Linked DNA regions of Solanum lycopersicum. The protein of the gene in region 2 interacts with the protein of the main gene of each other region in a pairwise test. Links are inferred from orthologs where the notes say so. Each region holds a gene or a part of one and is shown on either strand. Other genes may lie near its edges. The genes, in order: ataxin-3 homolog and sterol side chain reductase 2.

Region 1 (8,372 bases), on a different chromosome or scaffold from region 2:
AAACAACTCCTTTTATTCCTCAGTCGTTGGAAAATTCTCTAAGTTTCTTGCAGGCCTACAATCTTTTAGTGTAGAGTTTTTTTTAAAAAAAAATCCGTACTTGATTTTTTATGGTTATGATATCCTGGATCATTAATTGGTAAATGTTGTTACATCTTTTGTGGGCATTAGCATTTGATGGAACAAATTTGTGTTCCTCTTTCCTTTCTTTAACCAAATGGCCCTGCATCTTTGCCTCAATGCCACTTCTTCATTCTTTAGCATTTCTTAATGCTTCATGATCAATGATGCCTTCTCCACCATTTCCTCCGTAAGATTCTGTCTTTCAGTACCTTGTCCAACATTGCCGATTGTTTGAGAAAGTTTGACTTCTGTACTTTCAGGGTGCCAGTTGGATTTCACTCCACTCCCCAATTTACCTTTCAAGGTTTACATTTTACAAACTAAATTATACTCCCCCTATTTCAAATTGCTAGGTAGGCCTATATTGACTTGGCAGGGAGTTCAAGATAATAAAGAGGACTTTTGAATATTGTGATCTTAAATTAAAGATATGTCAAATGTACCAAAATGCTTTTTAATCTTGGAGTCTTAAACATGTCTGGTACAAAGCTTGAATTAAAGTGTTGCTGAAAAGGGAAAGGGTCATTCCTTTTTAAATCAAGTAAAAAGGTAAGTAGGTCAAATAAATTGAAACAGGGGGTGTAGTCAGATTTTCCTAAAAAATAAAATGTTGTCCCCTAACTTTTAACTATGTTAACAAAGCCATCTGTATTCAGCCACCAATTGCCAAACTTGAAATATGATTTTGTTGCTCCGAATCTCCACATTGAAATATATCAACGATATGAACAGTTGTCACTCTGATATTGCAAAAGATGTTATCCCGCTCTCCAAATATATAGATTCTATCAATTCTTAAGGCAGTAGTATTGGGGTCCCCTCTATACCAAAAGCAGTTAAGCACCACCTTCTAGTTTAGTCCATTCGAACGAGATTTTTGCACTTGATCTAAACTTATATAAAGAAAATCCTATTTTCCCCATGAGAGATAAAGAAAGGAATAAAGAAAATAACGATAACAAACTACAACAGAAGGTAATTCCTATGAAGAAGTCACCGGAAAAGGTGTTCATACTAGGTTGTTAGTTGTAATATCCTGCAAGGTAATCAAATTCTTCCTTGGTAGAACTACATAACACATAAACAAGTAAATGATTCAGTGTGATTATTCTGTAAAAAAGGAGCGGCATTGTTTAAATCTGAATTTGTGCACTGATAGGTTCAACTTTTAAATAGGAGCTATTCTAGTTCTTATATCTAGCAAATAATCACCATATTATGTGACATATATGGCATCATCTAAATATAGCCACCCCAAACCAAATGAAAATAAAAAGAGAATTAGCTTGAAAAGGAAGGAGAAGAAAAAGAAAGAGGTGAACATAACTTAGATGGTGATTACTATGTACTCATTCTTTTAAACAAATCCCTTGATGGGTCCTTCCTCTAATCCTTTTCTTTGTGCAGATTACACTGGTTTCTTCTTTGGTTAATTTTTTGGAAACTCTAAGTCGAATTAAGATATTTTAGTTGTGAAAGAATTTTGATTAAAATACCTTGATATGACTGCAGTAAATGCTCTGTGATGTTAATCTCCGGAAAATATGGTGTGCTGTTAGTCTCCTAATCAGAAGTCATCTCTTTCCTACATAAAGAATCATCATGATTACCTACAGTACGTAATAGGAACGTTGAAAACCTTTTTCTGTAGCACGATTGTACCTGGTTTTATTACATGCCATTAAGGAACCTTTGTGTGATGCTGGTCTAAATTGGCATTGTATTTTTGGGTGAAGTTTGTAGGATGAATTCATGTTGTGCATTCTAATATCTGAACACTTTGTAGCCATAACTGAACTTGTATGACTGTAGAAATTGTATTTGACATAATGTATAGGCTGCTTACCTATAAAGTTAGGAAACATCTTGTCAGTTTGGCATATTTATTATGAAGAAACTCAAAATCCAACCTTCTATATGTGAAATCTTGTATATAAAGAACACAAAATCCAAGTTTAAAATGATGATTCTATGAATGAAATGAATATCGAAATTCCAGCACGATAAAGAAACAATAAATTATTGTGTCAACTATTTCTATAACATTTAGTGGCATAGGAATTGAGTCTTTATGAAGAGGATAAGGCTCCATATGTTACTTTTGTCCGAGCTTAAGTTTTAAGGGGTCGTTTGGTTGGGAACAAGTTATCCTGGGATTAATTATCCTGGGATAACTTATCCCACCATATATATTGGATAACTTATACTATCACTGTGGTATAAATAGTGGGATAAGTTATCCCAAACATGGTAACCAAACAAGACACAAAAATTTTATCCCATCACTATTATTTACCTTTCACACCAAACGACCCCTAAGTCTATAAGACCTGTTATGCTTGCAAGATTTGTTGTGGTTTTATATTCTCTTCAGGTAACAAGGTCTAGTTTTCGTGTGGCTTTTTTGTTTTCTTCCAAGCATAATAAATTCTACCATTGTAAATTAAAGATGGGTTTTTCAATTTTAGGTTACTAGAATCGTACTAGATTAAGGTAGGGCAAGGTTTTTGTGTATACTACCCTCCAAGACTCCAGTTGTGGCATTTACATTAGGCATGTTGTAAAATCACGCTAGATCATTGACAGCAATTAATGTCAGTATAATGAAATTCTCCTGAATGTAACATCGAAGAAGTTAATATGGTTTCATAATTTTAGGGCTGTTTTGACGTGGGAGCAACTTTAAAAATGAACTGGTCTTTCATTCATTCATTTAATCTAGTGATTAATCACCACAGTACACAAAAATATGGCACACTCTAAATGTGACCCAAAAAGAACTTTATTTTTTTCAAAAAAAAAAAGGAAGTGAGAAAAGGCCCTGGATGTTGCTTAGTGGTAGAAGAGGTGGAGTACAACCTAGCGAAGTTCAAATCTAAATAGAGGTGAAACTAGGTGAATTCTAGTCATCTCCCATAGTTTGTGGGGATGGACTTATTCCATACTCGGGATGCAAAGTTGGCTTGACACTAGTATTGTCAGAAAAAAAAAAAGAGAGAAAATAAAGTGATACTTTGAGAAAAAATGAGGAGAGAACATAATATAGACGAAAATCACTATATTTCTGTGACATTTTGTTCACAGAACTGTTGGTAAACTTTTTCTCTGGTTCCTGTTGTTTTGGAAATGACTTTGGTTTCTTCTTTTAGTTATAACTTTGGGTAAGTTGTGGAAGAGTTTTGATTAAAAGTAGCTTCATGTTTTTGTTCGTAAGAGCTAGTTGGTACTTGATGTCTTTACTCTTAAAAGCTAGTTGGTACCTGCTGAAATAGGTCAATTGAGATGCACGCGAACTGGCCTAGGCATTACTGTAATAAAAAAGTAAAAAATAGGAAAAATAGGAAATAGCTTTGTGACTACAGGTAAGTGCTTTCTGATATTAGTATCATTATAGAATATCACATCCTTTCCTCCTAATATAAAGAGTAATCATGTGAATGAAGGCACATCCTATATAAACCCATATCAAATATTTTAAATATTTGATAGAGTTAAAATTCATTAATTCAATCAGTCAAATACTCAAGTATAGCAAGCCCCTCTTTTTTGTGATATTATAAGTGCCCAGCAAGCCAGTGGTGTATGCAGGATTTTTTGTAAGTGGTGTCGATATTTAAAAATAAATAAATAATAAATAATTGATAAAATTAATAAAAATGATTTAAAATGTACTAAAAACATAAATTAAGTAAACTACTACAACTCTCCTCGACGAGTTTTGATATTTTCAAATGTATTCATAATAGCCTCATTGGGGATAGTACTAAATATTCTTCCTCTATATCGTCGAGAAAGCTCTTTCAACTGTAGCAGTAGTCACCGACACATAAAGCAAATTTAACTAGTTGAAACACAAGAGGATAAGTTTTGTGCTTCTTCGTCTCTACGAGTATCTTGGAAACATTACGAAGTTCCTTAAGACTGAAGAACCTTTTATCATGATCTCTAACATCAACAATATAATTTTCAAGCTGAAAGCGAAGGTCGACTATAGAGTATTTAGCATAATCATCAGGGTATAACTCAGCCAATCTCAATATCTTTTTTCCATATAAAAGTTAGAAAATGAATCAATTCAGTTTGGCTTAGGTTTTACTTTATAACTTATTATTGTATCCAATTCTGATTTGAATAAGTAATAAAAATTTTATAATAGGTTATATATGTAGTATTCTAGTTCAACTGGTTTGTTTTAGCCTAATTTGAGTAGAAATAGGAGGTTGGAGGTTTAAATCCTTCTTAAACTTTTCTCTTTTTCCTTGAAAAAGGAGGCTCAAAAATTAAAGCAAAAAATGCACCTACTGAGATTCAAACTCAGGTGTGTTGTGCTTCATTTGCGACGTAAACCACATGAGCCATGACACTTGTTTGTTCAAGGAGTGTAATTTTTAATATTTATACTTCTGTTTTAGTTTTTCTGATCTACATACAGATATAAATACTAAAAAATTTTAACGAAGCCGTGTCAGCTGACCCCCCTTGATTTAAGGTGGATCTGCCTCTGCAGCAAGCCTATTTTACGTCTGGTAGTAATGATTTTTAGGTCAAAATCAAATGTACTAGCTAGTGAATCCGAGAGAAAAGTTGAATACCAGAAGATAAAATCATGGTGGAATGGTGGAGATGCAGAACTCTAGTTTGTCCCGTAGTATGTAGCTTTAGCCTGAGTTAGTGCTCATTTTATCTGGCACAAGGTTTTGTTTAATGTGTTTGAGTGTGAGAGACAAATAGCATGTGAAATAACTAGTTTACACTAAGTGGAGAGAGATATTATGACCATTCGATTTGCATAATCCTGTCACTATGATGCTATTTTTCCAATGATTTCCTTTAAATCACCTTTTCGCTTTGGCTCTAGAAGCTAATTCTGGCTTGAATTTTCGTTACAGGTTTTGCAAAAGGTACTGGAGGTATGGGATCTTCAAATCATTCCACTGGATAGCCCAGTTGCTGAGCTGGCTCAGATTGACCCAGAACTGAGAAATGCATTTATCTGTCACTTGCAGAACCATTGGTTCTGTATCAGGAAAGTAAATGGGGAGTGGTACAACTTTGAAAGTCTCAAGCCGGCTCCTGATCACCTCTCCAAATTTTACCTTTCAGCGTATCTTGACTCCTTAAAAGGCTTTGGCTGGAGCATTTTCCTGGTGAGCGGAAAATTTCCCAAGGAATGTCCGATCTCTTCCTCTGAAGCTTCTAGTGGATATGGACAGTGGCTGTTACCAGAAGATGCGGAGAGGATTACCAAGTCCTGCAATGCTGCACAGAGAACAGGTAGCAGAAGTGGTCAAACTCAGTGGCAATCTGTTCCCTACCGCCAATACGAGGAACAAGGTATGCTTTTAGATGAAGAAGATGAGGATTTGAAAGTTGCAATTGCTGCCAGCTTGCTGGATGCTGCCCCCGCAGTCAGCACCAAACCTGATACCTTGGAAAATGAAAATAAGGACAATAGTGCAGCTAATGCATGACAAGGGAACATTTTCAGTGTTTTAAGCCGGGAAAACTTATGAACTGTTTTTTTTCCTCATAATTGCATCCGATACTGGATACTAGTTCATAATTCTGCTGCATAAACAGTGATGTTGTTTCTTATTTCAAAAAATAAATTAAAAACGATACACATGGACGTTGTTTGTTGGCTAAGAGCAAGATTTTTATATAATTTGAAAAGAAAAATGAAAAAAACTTGATCTTCATAGAATTTGTACTTTGTAGTCATTTCATTGAGACAGTTCTTATTTCACTTTTTTGTTCTTGTTTTCTTATTTGCTGCTTGTACATTTTTTGGATGTAAATATTGTTTTATGCCATGTGATCGTCTCTTATTTAAATAATAACTAGGGGTTTAATGCCTGGGCGAATTTGTATTGACGTTGTACGGACGAATTTTTTATTGGCGTGAAAATAAAAAAGACGTGGTCATGTTTAAAATATATTACATTACTTTTGTACAAGGTTATACAGTAAGCTTGCTAATCAAAAGAGGGAAAATGGATGTTAGTGGTGTTGGGTATGTAACAAGAATTGATGGGAAATAGAGGGAAGGAGAGGAATTTGAAAAGCTTAGAACTTGAAAGGTTGGGAACTTGAGAAGTTCTCTAATGCTTTATTTAAAAAGGCAATAGTCGCTCATCGGTAATGGAAATGAAAATAGGAGAGTTTAAATAATAAACACTCCTATTAATTGTTAAAAGGGTTGGAAAGAGGGACCCCCTCGCGCCGTCGTCGTCGTCGCTCGCTTCGGCTTCGGCTTCGACTTTGGCAAATGATCGATCAAGAGATAATTTTTTGGACAAATTTATTTTAATTATTTATTTAATTAATTTAATGGCCAAAAATTATTTTCAATTAATTAGTTGATAACAGAAGTTAACCGAAATGTTTTCAACTTTTTAGTTAACTCGACCCGACTCGAATCCGCGCGCGTGACCCGTTTTAAATTCCGTTATATTTATAAAATTCCCGCCATGACTGTTTTGAAAGGTTGCAACTTTCAGGAGCAGTCAATACCATTTAAAAGTTTGCAACCTTTCATTAATGGTCGTGTCAATTCTGAAAGGGTTGCAACCTTTCAGAATATATTCTTCTTGCCTATAAATACCATTCAGTTTTCAGAAATTTCCCAACGAATTTTTCTGATCTTCCTTGTTCTTAAAAAACACATATTTCTTCGTGTACTTTCCTGCTGTGGATTGATTCGCTGTCAATAGAGTTTTTGGTATCTATACTCTTCTGATTAAGATCATTTTACCCTGGGAGGTTATATTCCAAATTAAACCTCGGATACTAGAGAGGAATAATTTCCTTAAGGGGACACTGTGAATTCAGTGGACTTGATTTTCTTCCTAAATTGTCAAAAAAAGAGTATCCCAGATTCTGGTAAGTTTTACAGATTTCATTTATTTTTTACAAATAAATTTCTGTTCATCTTATTTACTGGTTCTAAAAATCTCAGTTACTTCGTGTTTCTGACTGATTTATTACAACCTGTAATTTTTTATTTTCATAACACAGATTGGCAACAAGTGGTTCAACTGCGTGTTTGGCTGTCAAAGATGGATTCTGAATGGAGTTCTGGCAAAAAGAATTGACTAGTCTTTGTGGTAAAGCAGAAACTGTACAAAGTGGTGGGGCAATTAATTGACTTCATGAGATCTACAAAAGTGAGCAAGCTTTGTATTTCCTGTGAGGCAGTAACATTACATCAAATATGTGGATTTGAGATTATAGCATAAACAAATGAAATTGCCTTACCTTTCCTGTACCGAGGTTAAAAGTAGCCGCCGAAAAGCTTGGATTAACTATAGAAGTTGTTTTCAAAGAAAATGTCTGGTTAGTATGTTGGAGAAACAGTGGTTGAACAATGAATTAAGAGTGATAATCACCTTTAGTTTGGTTTTTCTGAAGTTGGTGGCTGCAGCTTGTGTTTTATTCTTTGTGATGATGATTTTGCTTGTTCACTCACTTGTTCTGGTCCAGTCTGTTGTTTTCTTTTGCTTGATTCCTGGATATTGGTTTTGTTTGGTGCTGTAGGGATAGTTGGGAATTCGGCTATAGATTTGGGGGGAAGGGGGGCTTTTGGCCATTTTCTCTTAAATAAATGACTTCTTTATAGTTAACTTTGTATTTATCACTCATCAACCATTAAAAGGATAAAGGATATTTTATTTTAGGTTGTTCCTAAAGTTGACATCGATTTTCACTTAAACATCTTAAGTAGACTTTGTTCATTTTGAACACCTCAATTGAGGGTCTATTGTATCATTTTGACACGCTTTTGATAATTAGCTAAAGGCCTAACCCATCGGTGGTCTCTTAAATTTGGCACAAAGTTTCACTTAATCACATGTCATATATCAAAATAATTCTAAACTAATGATTTTTAAGTAAAAAGAAAAATAACCACTCACTTGATGACACGTGGCATTTACAACTCAAATAATAAATATTTTTTAAAAGGAAATTCAACAAATCTAATTCTCAAGAAACTCACCCTTGTCTTCTTCACCCCCTCCTTTTTACTTCTAAAAAAACAATGGAAGAATTTTTTTTTTTACTTTCTCGTATGTGCAGAGGATTCAAATACGTGAACACGAAATAGAGTAATTATTTTATGGCGCTGAAATTTAATTGTTGGATATAAAGAAACAAAATGAGCAGAAGATAATAGTTGTGGCAATTTTTAGATCTGAAAAATTAAAAATTATTTTGATTTTAATATGATCCATGGCGATGTTGCATTAGCG
Region 2 (9,625 bases):
TTTTAAAATTGTTTAGGATCATAAGTTTAATTTTATTTTTTTAAATATCATATCAAGTCAAATAATATCACCTAAAATAAAACACAAAAATTGATAATTTTATATTTTAAAAAAATAATAATAATAGTTTTTTTAAAAAATTAGCCGAAGAAGTTAAAACAAAAAGTAGGGATTATTGATGTAGTTAGCAATTCTGTCGATTGGTGCTTCAATAGAATATAATTTTGATTTTTGAATTTCACATATTCAATTACTATCTTCGAATCAACAATATTTTTAACATAGGGTTTCATAATAATGTTAGTCTATGTGTTCGATAACACTTTATTCAATATTGATTTTACATATTTTACAATTATAAATAAAAAATATGATTAATAATAATGAAATTTAAAAAGATAAATAAACAACTATCGTTGAAAATTTGGAAAGATGAAAAACGACATCTCATTACTCTATGTATTCATAATAATTAATTAAAAACTCTAATTTTAACAAATGGTCACTCTCTCACTGTCTATAATTTATATTTTCTGACATCACTTTAATCTATATACACGTTGCAGATCATATTTAACTATTGAATTTTCAAGATTCTTTTTATTTACCCAAGTTTTCCAGTAGTATTATATTTTATTGGAAATTTCTTTGATCAAAATGATTATTTTTTTTATATTATTTTATATTTTTAAATATTTTCATTTAGAATTTTAATATTTTTTAATTAAAAATAAAAAATATTAATTTATTTTAAAATAAAATAAAATTAAAATTTTTAATAGGAGTCGTTTGATACAAACATTAATAATGCATGGATTATTAATGCATGAATTAGTAATGCAGGGATTAATAGTGCATGAATTATTTTTTGTCAAGTGTTTGGTTCACTACTTTCCACTTAATTTTGTGTTTAATAATTTTGTGTTTAATTTATAATTCTACAAAGAAATTCTTTCCTATTATGCCCTTGTGTTATTATGAGTTTTTATTTCATGTAACTAATTCTAGGTAGATAATTACCGGACCGGATAATTTTTTTAAAGAATTATTTATTTCATTTAATTAGTTAAGTTAAATATTTATTTAACTTATCTTGACAAATTATCTTGAATAAAAAAAAATCAAAAAGAAATGAAGAAAAAAATATTAGTAAAATCATTAAATTACACCAAATAAATTTGGAGAATTAGAAAAGAACATTTATAACTACTCTAATATAAATAAAAAGGAAATTAAATTACAAAAGAATTTTTTTAAAAAAGAATAAAGGGTTAATTTAGTCATTTAAAAATTTTATCCAAGATTTAACAAATCTTAAATTAGTTATCCCTACATTTTCAAGGGATAAGATAATATCACATATGATGAATAAACAATACATAAATTAAATTAAATTAAATAATCAAATAATATATTTATTAAATTAAATTTTAATTCATAAATTATTTTACCTAATATGCCTCCAGATCGTTAGCAGTTTCATCTGATTAACAAAAGGAATCTTGAGCATTAAATAATGAACACGTGTAAAAATTTTATGAAATTTTAATCAAAGTGAATTTTATGAAAAGTTTATGTTATTCATAATGGTTTGAAATATAATAATACGTCTTTTACTTTATAAATCTTAACAAGAACGGAGAAAAATTATTCAGTAAATATACGATATTATTATTTATATATATTTATTAATGGAGAAGGAGTAAGACATTCTAATAAGATTTTTCTTTTAAAATAATAACTCGAAAATGCCTCTCAACCAATTGTAAAACAAAACTCCAAAATCTAACTTGCACGGTAGATTCGATCTGGGATAAGAATCTAATTTTAAAATAATTTACAAAATAACTTTTTAATCTTATAAAGCGTGATAATAATTAGTATTGGTTCAAAGTTAATTTCTTTTTATATAAATAAATTATTTCATATAAAACAATGACAAAATAATCACATAACGTATTTTAATTTCTCTCAGCTCATCATTTGCACTCAATAGATTCTACGTTTACGATATCCTATCTGATTACTCATAATTCTTATAGTTATTTTTTCTAAAATGCAAATTATAAAAATTATTTTATGATAAATTATTTATCATATCAATATGAAATAAAATCATAATGTATAACACTAATTATATAATTTTTTAAATTTTTAATTTTTTATTTAAAATATAAAATTAATGTATTCTAATTTTAAAAATTGTCCAAATTAACTTTCGGAAAGATACTATTATATAATTTTTTGTGGCAGACAAATCATTTATTGTTTCACCAAAATAATGCACTTGGAAAGCGGGCCAAAGGGGTCACGTGGTTGTCAGCGGACGATAAGTTACTTTGTCTTTTTCCCTATTTTTTATTTTCCAATATATTAAAAATGAAGTTTTATATTTAGTTTTCTAATTTAACTTATTAAGATAAAAATATCTTTTTAATATTAAGTAGCATCTATAATTATTTTGAATATTTTAAAACTAAACCTCACTTAATGAGTAATTATTATGGTAACAGTATTTTATCATCACGATTTGATCCTAATTGATGCAAAACCATTTTTTCATGTTTATTTTAATTGTTTCTGTAATAATATGTTACTTATAAGAATAATAATACCCGTTATAATGTTAAATCATCCGTAAAATTATCTCTTTATACTACACATATAAAACTATAGTGAATAATATTTTATGAAAAATATATTATATATAAGTAAAATAAATAATACTAAGTGTTTTAAATATGAGTATCTAAAAAAATAATATTTAAATAATATTCGTCAATTATATATAGGATTGCTTCTTTAGTGTTTAGTTTAATTAACAAAAATATTGCTTCTTTGTTATATCAAAATTATTAAAACTAATTCTTTGTCATACTTTTCTTCAAAAATAAAATCTAAATAGTACCTCACTTTAATAATCATGTAAATTTCAAATGATTATTATTAGTATAATGCCATTTAACGATATATAAAGAATAATTAACGACTCTTCAAAAGTGATACTTTTGTACTCTTTCTAACAATTTTAGTTAAGTAGTGGGGGCGTTTGATTGGTAGGCTAAATGGTGGGCTAAAGATATAAATCACACTTACAAAATGATTTTGGATTTTTTTATATTCATTTCATCATTTAAATATATATAATTCATATAAGACGGAGAAATATTGAAAATATTCATAAATTTAGCAAGTTTTTAAATTATGTTATAAGATTCAAGATGTACTATTTAAATTATAATTAATAAAGTAAAAATATTATTTTTAATAATTTTTACATATAATTTAAAAGTGTATTTAATACTTAGCTTTTTACGATTTTATCGATGTCCTCTGCCTACCAACCAAATAACATGTTTTTCCGTAAATACCCCTATTGTTGTAAGTTCTCTATAAAGCACACTATCATCTTTAACTAAACCATCTCTCATTTTGGGGAGTAAACTCTGCAATCCAATTATTAGGTACTCATTTTTCATCTCTTCTCAATTTTTTCTCACTATGATTATTATTTTGTTAAATTTAAGCTAATTTTATAGCTATTTATGCATGAAAAATCATAATTAGTGTTAAGAATTCGGTAGTTAATTATGCTTTTCTTTTTGTACAATGCATGACATAGTTAGAGTAGAACAAATTATTTTGTTGCTCATGAGTCATGTTTCACGCATGCTGAAGTTTTTGGGTTTAATTTTTTTTTTTGAAGTTAGTTTTATAAACCAATGTGTTGAAAATAATTTTCTGTAAAGAACAAATTATATTGTTGCGGAATCAGTTGATAATTTTGAAGTGAAAGAGCATAATCTTATTTTTTGGTAATGCTCCAATAGAAGCATATACTAGTAATTTTGTTAGTTTTGCATATCAAAGAAAAATGTTATTAGTTGAAAAATTATGTTGTATATATAGTCAAATTATAAATATTTAAAGCTTGGATATTTTTGACATAAGTTAGGTTTGAACTTGCTCTGTTTTCGTTTACTACTGTTCTTCCCTAAATTTGAATAAATTATTGAGAAAGCGGAATGGATTATTTCTCTTGAGTTTTTTTTTTTTTCTGAATATTTCTATGTTTTTTTTTGTGAATATGGAGGTAAATTTGTCAAAAAGTTTAGATGATTTTTGGAAGACAACTTAGATTAGTGATGTTTAACGATTAATTAGTATAAGTTGAGTGACCATTCAGATATTCAACTCCATATTTAGTCTATTTTACCTTTACATCAGTTGATTTTACAATGATAATTAGTAACAAGAAAATGGCCATGGTGCATAAATTTCAACTTTTAGTTTCAAGATTGTACTGAACTTGGCGTTTTTCGCGGGATGCTGTTGTTGTTAATCTGACTGTCAATAGCATTATGTTTTTGGGAGAGGTTTCATATTGATGCTATTTGTGCCTTAAAGTTTGTTAAGTAGTGCTCAATTGGTATGTGATTGATGATAAGTAGTACATTTCTTGGCTGTGGTTCTTAACTTGGATTCGTCGTTGTAACAGTTGTTTGTCCTCAAGTTTTCAAGATGTCGGATGCTAAGGCCCCCGTGGCCACTGCTTACCCTAAGAGGAAGATCCAGTTGGTGGACTTCCTTCTTTCGTTCCGATGGATCATTGTCATCTTTTTTGTCCTTCCATTCTCGTTCTTGTATTACTTCTCGATATATCTAGGGGATGTGAAATCCGAGAGGAAATCTTACAAGCAACGCCAGATGGAACACGATGAGAATGTTAAAGAGGTTGTGAAGCGTCTTGGCCAGAGGAATGCAGAAAAGGATGGTCTTGTATGCACAGCCAGACCTCCTTGGGTGGTTGTTGGAATGAGAAATGTCGACTATAAACGTGCTCGTCATTTTGAAGTTGATCTTTCAAAGTTTAGAAATATACTTGATATTGACACGGAGCGGATGGTTGCTAAAGTTGAGCCTCTAGTCAATATGGGCCAAATGTCAAGGGTCACTATCCCAATGAATCTTTCCCTTGCAGTTCTCGCTGAGCTCGATGATCTTACCGTTGGTGGTTTGATCAATGGGTTCGGGGTTGAAGGAAGTTCTCACATATTTGGGTTGTTCTCTGACACTGTTGTAGCACTTGAGGTTGTTCTAGCTGATGGAAAGGTTGTTAGAGCTACAAAGGACAACGAATATTCTGATCTTTTCTACGCTATTCCGTGGTCTCAAGGAACATTGGGGCTTCTTGTTTCAGCTGAAATCAAGCTTATACCAGTTGATCAATACGTGAAACTTACCTACAAACCTGTAAGGGGTAATCTTAAAGAGCTTGCTCAGGCTTACGCGGATTCTTTTGCACCTAAAGATGGAGATCAGGACAATCCTTCTAAAGTTCCTGAGATGGTAGAAGGCATGATTTATGGTCCAACCGAAGGGGTTATGATGACCGGTATGTATGCTTCGAGGAATGAAGCCAAACGAAGGGGTAATGTAATCAACAATTACGGTTGGTGGTTCAAACCATGGTTTTACCAACACGCTCAAACCGCACTAAAAAGAGGGGAATTTGTTGAGTACATTCCAACTAGGGACTACTACCACAGACACACGAGATCGTTGTATTGGGAAGGTAAACTAATTCTTCCATTCGGTGATCAGTTCTGGTTTAGGTTCCTCTTAGGATGGCTCATGCCACCAAAGATTGCTCTGCTCAAAGCCACACAAAGTGAGGCTATTAGAAACTATTACCATGACCATCATGTCATTCAAGATCTCCTTGTTCCTCTTTACAAGGTCGGTGATTGTCTCGAGTGGGTTCATCGCGAGATGGAGGTAAAAATTTGTTCGTCTTTTAGTCCGGTTTTTTTGGTTTTTGGCAATTCCTTTAACTAAAGCACATTTTGGTACATACGAATTGTATTTGTTTAGGTATATCCAATTTGGCTGTGCCCACACAGAATTTACAAGCTGCCAGTGAGACCAATGATCTACCCTGAACCAGGATTCGAGAAACACAAAAGGCAGGGTGACACCGAATATGCACAAATGTATACTGATGTTGGTGTGTACTATGTTCCGGGAGCAGTCCTGAGGGGTGAGCCGTTTGATGGTTCAGAGAAATGCCGACAACTTGAGCTTTGGTTGATAGAGAACCATGGATTTCAGGCTCAATACGCGGTGACTGAGCTGACAGAGAAGAATTTCTGGAGGATGTTTGATAACGGTCTGTACGAGCAATGCAGAAGGAAGTACAAAGCTATCGGAACGTTCATGAGTGTGTACTATAAATCGAAGAAAGGAAGGAAGACAGAGAAGGAAGTGCAGGAAGCTGAGCAAGAGAAAGCTGAACAAGAGACTCCTGAAGCAAATTGATTCCGAAGAATAGTAGAATTTCTATGACTTTTTTATTTTTTTTTTATTTTTTATGATCGTCTGTTTAGTTGGTTTCTAGTATGAATTTTCGCCTTTTAAATAAGCAGCTACATTGAACAAGTATTTTACTAGTAGTAAGGTCTGCTTGCCTGTTCCAAATTCAAAAAATGTTTCAAATAATAATGGCTAGTGCAGTTCAAAACTCTCAAGTTTCATTTCTTTATATATACATACTGCTTTTTTTTTTTCAAGACATTTCTGCCTCATGAAATTTGAAAAGAATTAAGATGCAGGAAGTTGTGTTTAGTCATAATTACAAATTATGATATTTTTCGAAATTTTATAGCTAAACATGATTTTTGAAATTTAATTTCGAAAAAAGTAATATATATTGATGGCCAAATGAACCTCAACATAACATGAATAAATAATGAATTATAAGAAATAAGGTATACATTAGTTTTGTGTATAAACGATACTTTGTCGGGTATAAATTTTTTTGGACAAAGGACAAAAATCACATACTTTTAAGGTAAAATTACAATTTGTTACTTATAAGTTTATAATTATAAAAATTTCTCAAACTCATACAATAATATAAGCGCGGATATATTAATTTGATGTGCGAGATACATTAATCGTTAAGTAAGATATATTATATTTTATAGATGATACACTAATCTAATGTACATTTTATACGTGATACACTAATCTGATGCGTGAGATATATTAATTTAAAGCGCTGATTTATTAATCTGATGCGTGAAAATGAGGAATTTTAGAAATTCGTAAAACTAATACAGGATAATGGTAAAAGACAAATTATATTAGTAATACAAGAGGGATTTAATGCATTAGCATGATTAAAAAGTCAATTGACCCTCAAAATATTTTTTACATCTTTTTCGCAATGGTTGTGAAAGGTTTTAAACAAATATTTCTTTGAAATTACTTCTTTTCCTTTCTTTCTGTGCTATCCCGTGAACTGTCAGTATCGAGACAAGTTCAGAATATTGCTCTGAGCGTAGACTAGTCTGCTCAAGCAGTCACAAATTATGAAATGTCGTCTATTTTAATATGTAAAACTAAATAATGAATAAAAAATAATTTGTATATATTAATACGAATATTATTAATACATTCTATTTAATATTGTTCCTATACATCCTCTCAAATGACTACTGAATGAGACCCTTAACTAGGGATGGTTATACGGGACCAGTTTAGCTTAACCCGCAAAATTTTTTATTTACTTCATCCACATAACAACTTTTTTTCATTTTCAACCTACCCCGCCATGCCTCACCCCACCTAACAATTTTTTCATTTTCAACCCGCTTCACCGCACATAACAATCTTTTTCGTTTCAACCCGTCCCAACCTGACCGCATAGAGCGGCCCCCATAATTTTTTAAATATTTTTTTCTAGTTAAGTTTGATACTAAAAATGAATTCATTTTTTAATTAAATTGTATTAATTTAAAGGACAATGACTTAGAGATTTATTTTTAGAGGTCAATTAGAAACATGTAAAAGATTGAATTATTTTTTATTAAACCATTTTCATTTACTATAGCTTTAAAGAAATCATCTTAAGAAATAATGCTCTATCACAATAATAACATGTACAGAGTTAAAATAAAATACGAACTCACGTAAAAACACACATACCCTAACCTGCAACCCATCCCATTCCGCCCTACATTATTTTTTTTTAAAAAAACCACTCCGCGTCCCTCCCACCCCACTCAACCTTAAACTCACCCCATCCCGCGTCCGCGCCACCTCATTTCCATCCCTACCCTTGACCCACCAATCAAACATATATTCCATGTTTTTTTAAAAAAAAAACTAAAGAAAAAAGTAGCCGTTAGAAAAGTAGAACGTTATGCCTAACGTTACAATCCCACCTATAAAAAACAATATTCTCTACATACTCCATTTATTTATTAAAAGCATAGCAAAGCAAAGAAATTAGGATAATAAGAGATATGGGTATGGTGGTTGTTATTTCTCTTCCATTTATACTTTTCACAATTCTTATTGGATTTGGATGTTTTTTCTTTGGAAGAGCTAAAGGTAGACAAGATATCAAAACCAATCCCCAAGTCTTTGGGGTACCCACCCCACCACCTGGTGCACCTCTTTCTTCAACTCATGAATTCAAACTGCAAGACAATACTTCAAATGTGTAACATTGGGGGTGGATTCATTCTACTTGTGCAAACATGAATAGTGTGAATGATATATATTTTTTTTGTTAAGATTCTCGTATATTCTTTATTTTTTTGAATTTCAATTGTGAGAGTCAGTGGAGATGACCTATACTGAGTATGTTGTTAATTATTGTTGTTGTTGTTAAAGTTGTATTACGAATCGGTGATTAAAGTATGTTTTGATCATATTTTGGTAATGAAATTGTATCAATTGAGTGCAAACTCCCTCTTATATTACTTTATATTTATTTATGTGACAATAATTTTGAATACGAAATGTCAAATTGAGTGAACTTCAATAGTGAATGTTCAATTTTTTAATTTTTATAATTATTCATGTATTTACAATTGTTTCTTCAATAGTGAATGTTCAATTTTTTAATTTTTATAATTATTCATGTATTTACAATTGTTTCTTCAATTTTTTTTTTTTAAAAAAAAACACTATTGCCTCTCTCATTAGAGGGAGTGCAATTTATATGTTGTCAATTCTAAATACTAAAGAAGTATTTGAAAAAAGACGCAGCAATTTTTTTAAAAAAAGGGTAAGTTAATTAAAATTTTTAATAAAATAACATAATAATTGATATATTTATATATAATTTTTTTTTATGGTTTTTAAAAAATAAAATCAAAATCACACCATAAAATATCAATTCTTTAACCGATTTAATTTGGATTGCGGTTCGATTTAACGCAATTACCCTTGAGTCTTGGCGTAATGTTTTGCAAATTAATTTTTTGTCTATTTATTATTTTAGAAAACTGATTTAATCGATTATACGATTCCCATTAAAGATTTTTAAAAGAAGAAGAAAAGGTAAAGCAATCTCTATCATATAGTTCAACACTATACAATACTTTTAGTTTATTGGAAGTTATATACTCCATATTTCCTATAAATAATAGAATATACGTTAAGCAATTTTGTGATGATAAAAATCAATTATATGGTATAAAAATATCAACATGTTATTTAGAGTAATATTATTGTGATTAAAAAAAATGATTTAGGATTGATATAATATAAAGAACTATTTATACCATACATTATTTTACCTAATTTAGTAAAGCAACTCGATTGATATAGT

Evidence for each region.
Region 1: the proteins of sterol side chain reductase 2 (region 2) and ataxin-3 homolog interact in binary tests that used the Arabidopsis thaliana proteins (3 or more experiments, as listed by UniProt). The link is inferred for Solanum lycopersicum from reciprocal best matches to the Arabidopsis thaliana genes DWF1 and AT3G54130.

The regions. Positions count from the first base shown.
Region 1 is NC_090809.1:64,648,105-64,656,476, reverse strand, and holds the end of ataxin-3 homolog, read left to right. Parts: intron 1-383; coding exon 384-390; intron 391-5,012; coding exon 5,013-5,594; 3' UTR 5,595-5,747; downstream 5,748-8,372. UniProt on the Arabidopsis thaliana protein: Interacts with key regulators of transcription and represses transcription. Acts as a histone-binding protein that regulates transcription. Acts as a deubiquitinating enzyme.
Region 2 is NC_090801.1:55,565,813-55,575,437, reverse strand, and holds sterol side chain reductase 2, read left to right. Parts: upstream 1-3,439; 5' UTR 3,440-3,464; intron 3,465-4,498; 5' UTR 4,499-4,521; coding exon 4,522-5,778; intron 5,779-5,874; coding exon 5,875-6,318; 3' UTR 6,319-6,516; downstream 6,517-9,625. UniProt on the Arabidopsis thaliana protein: Plays a critical role in the general process of plant cell elongation. Involved in the synthesis of campesterol, an early precursor of brassinolide.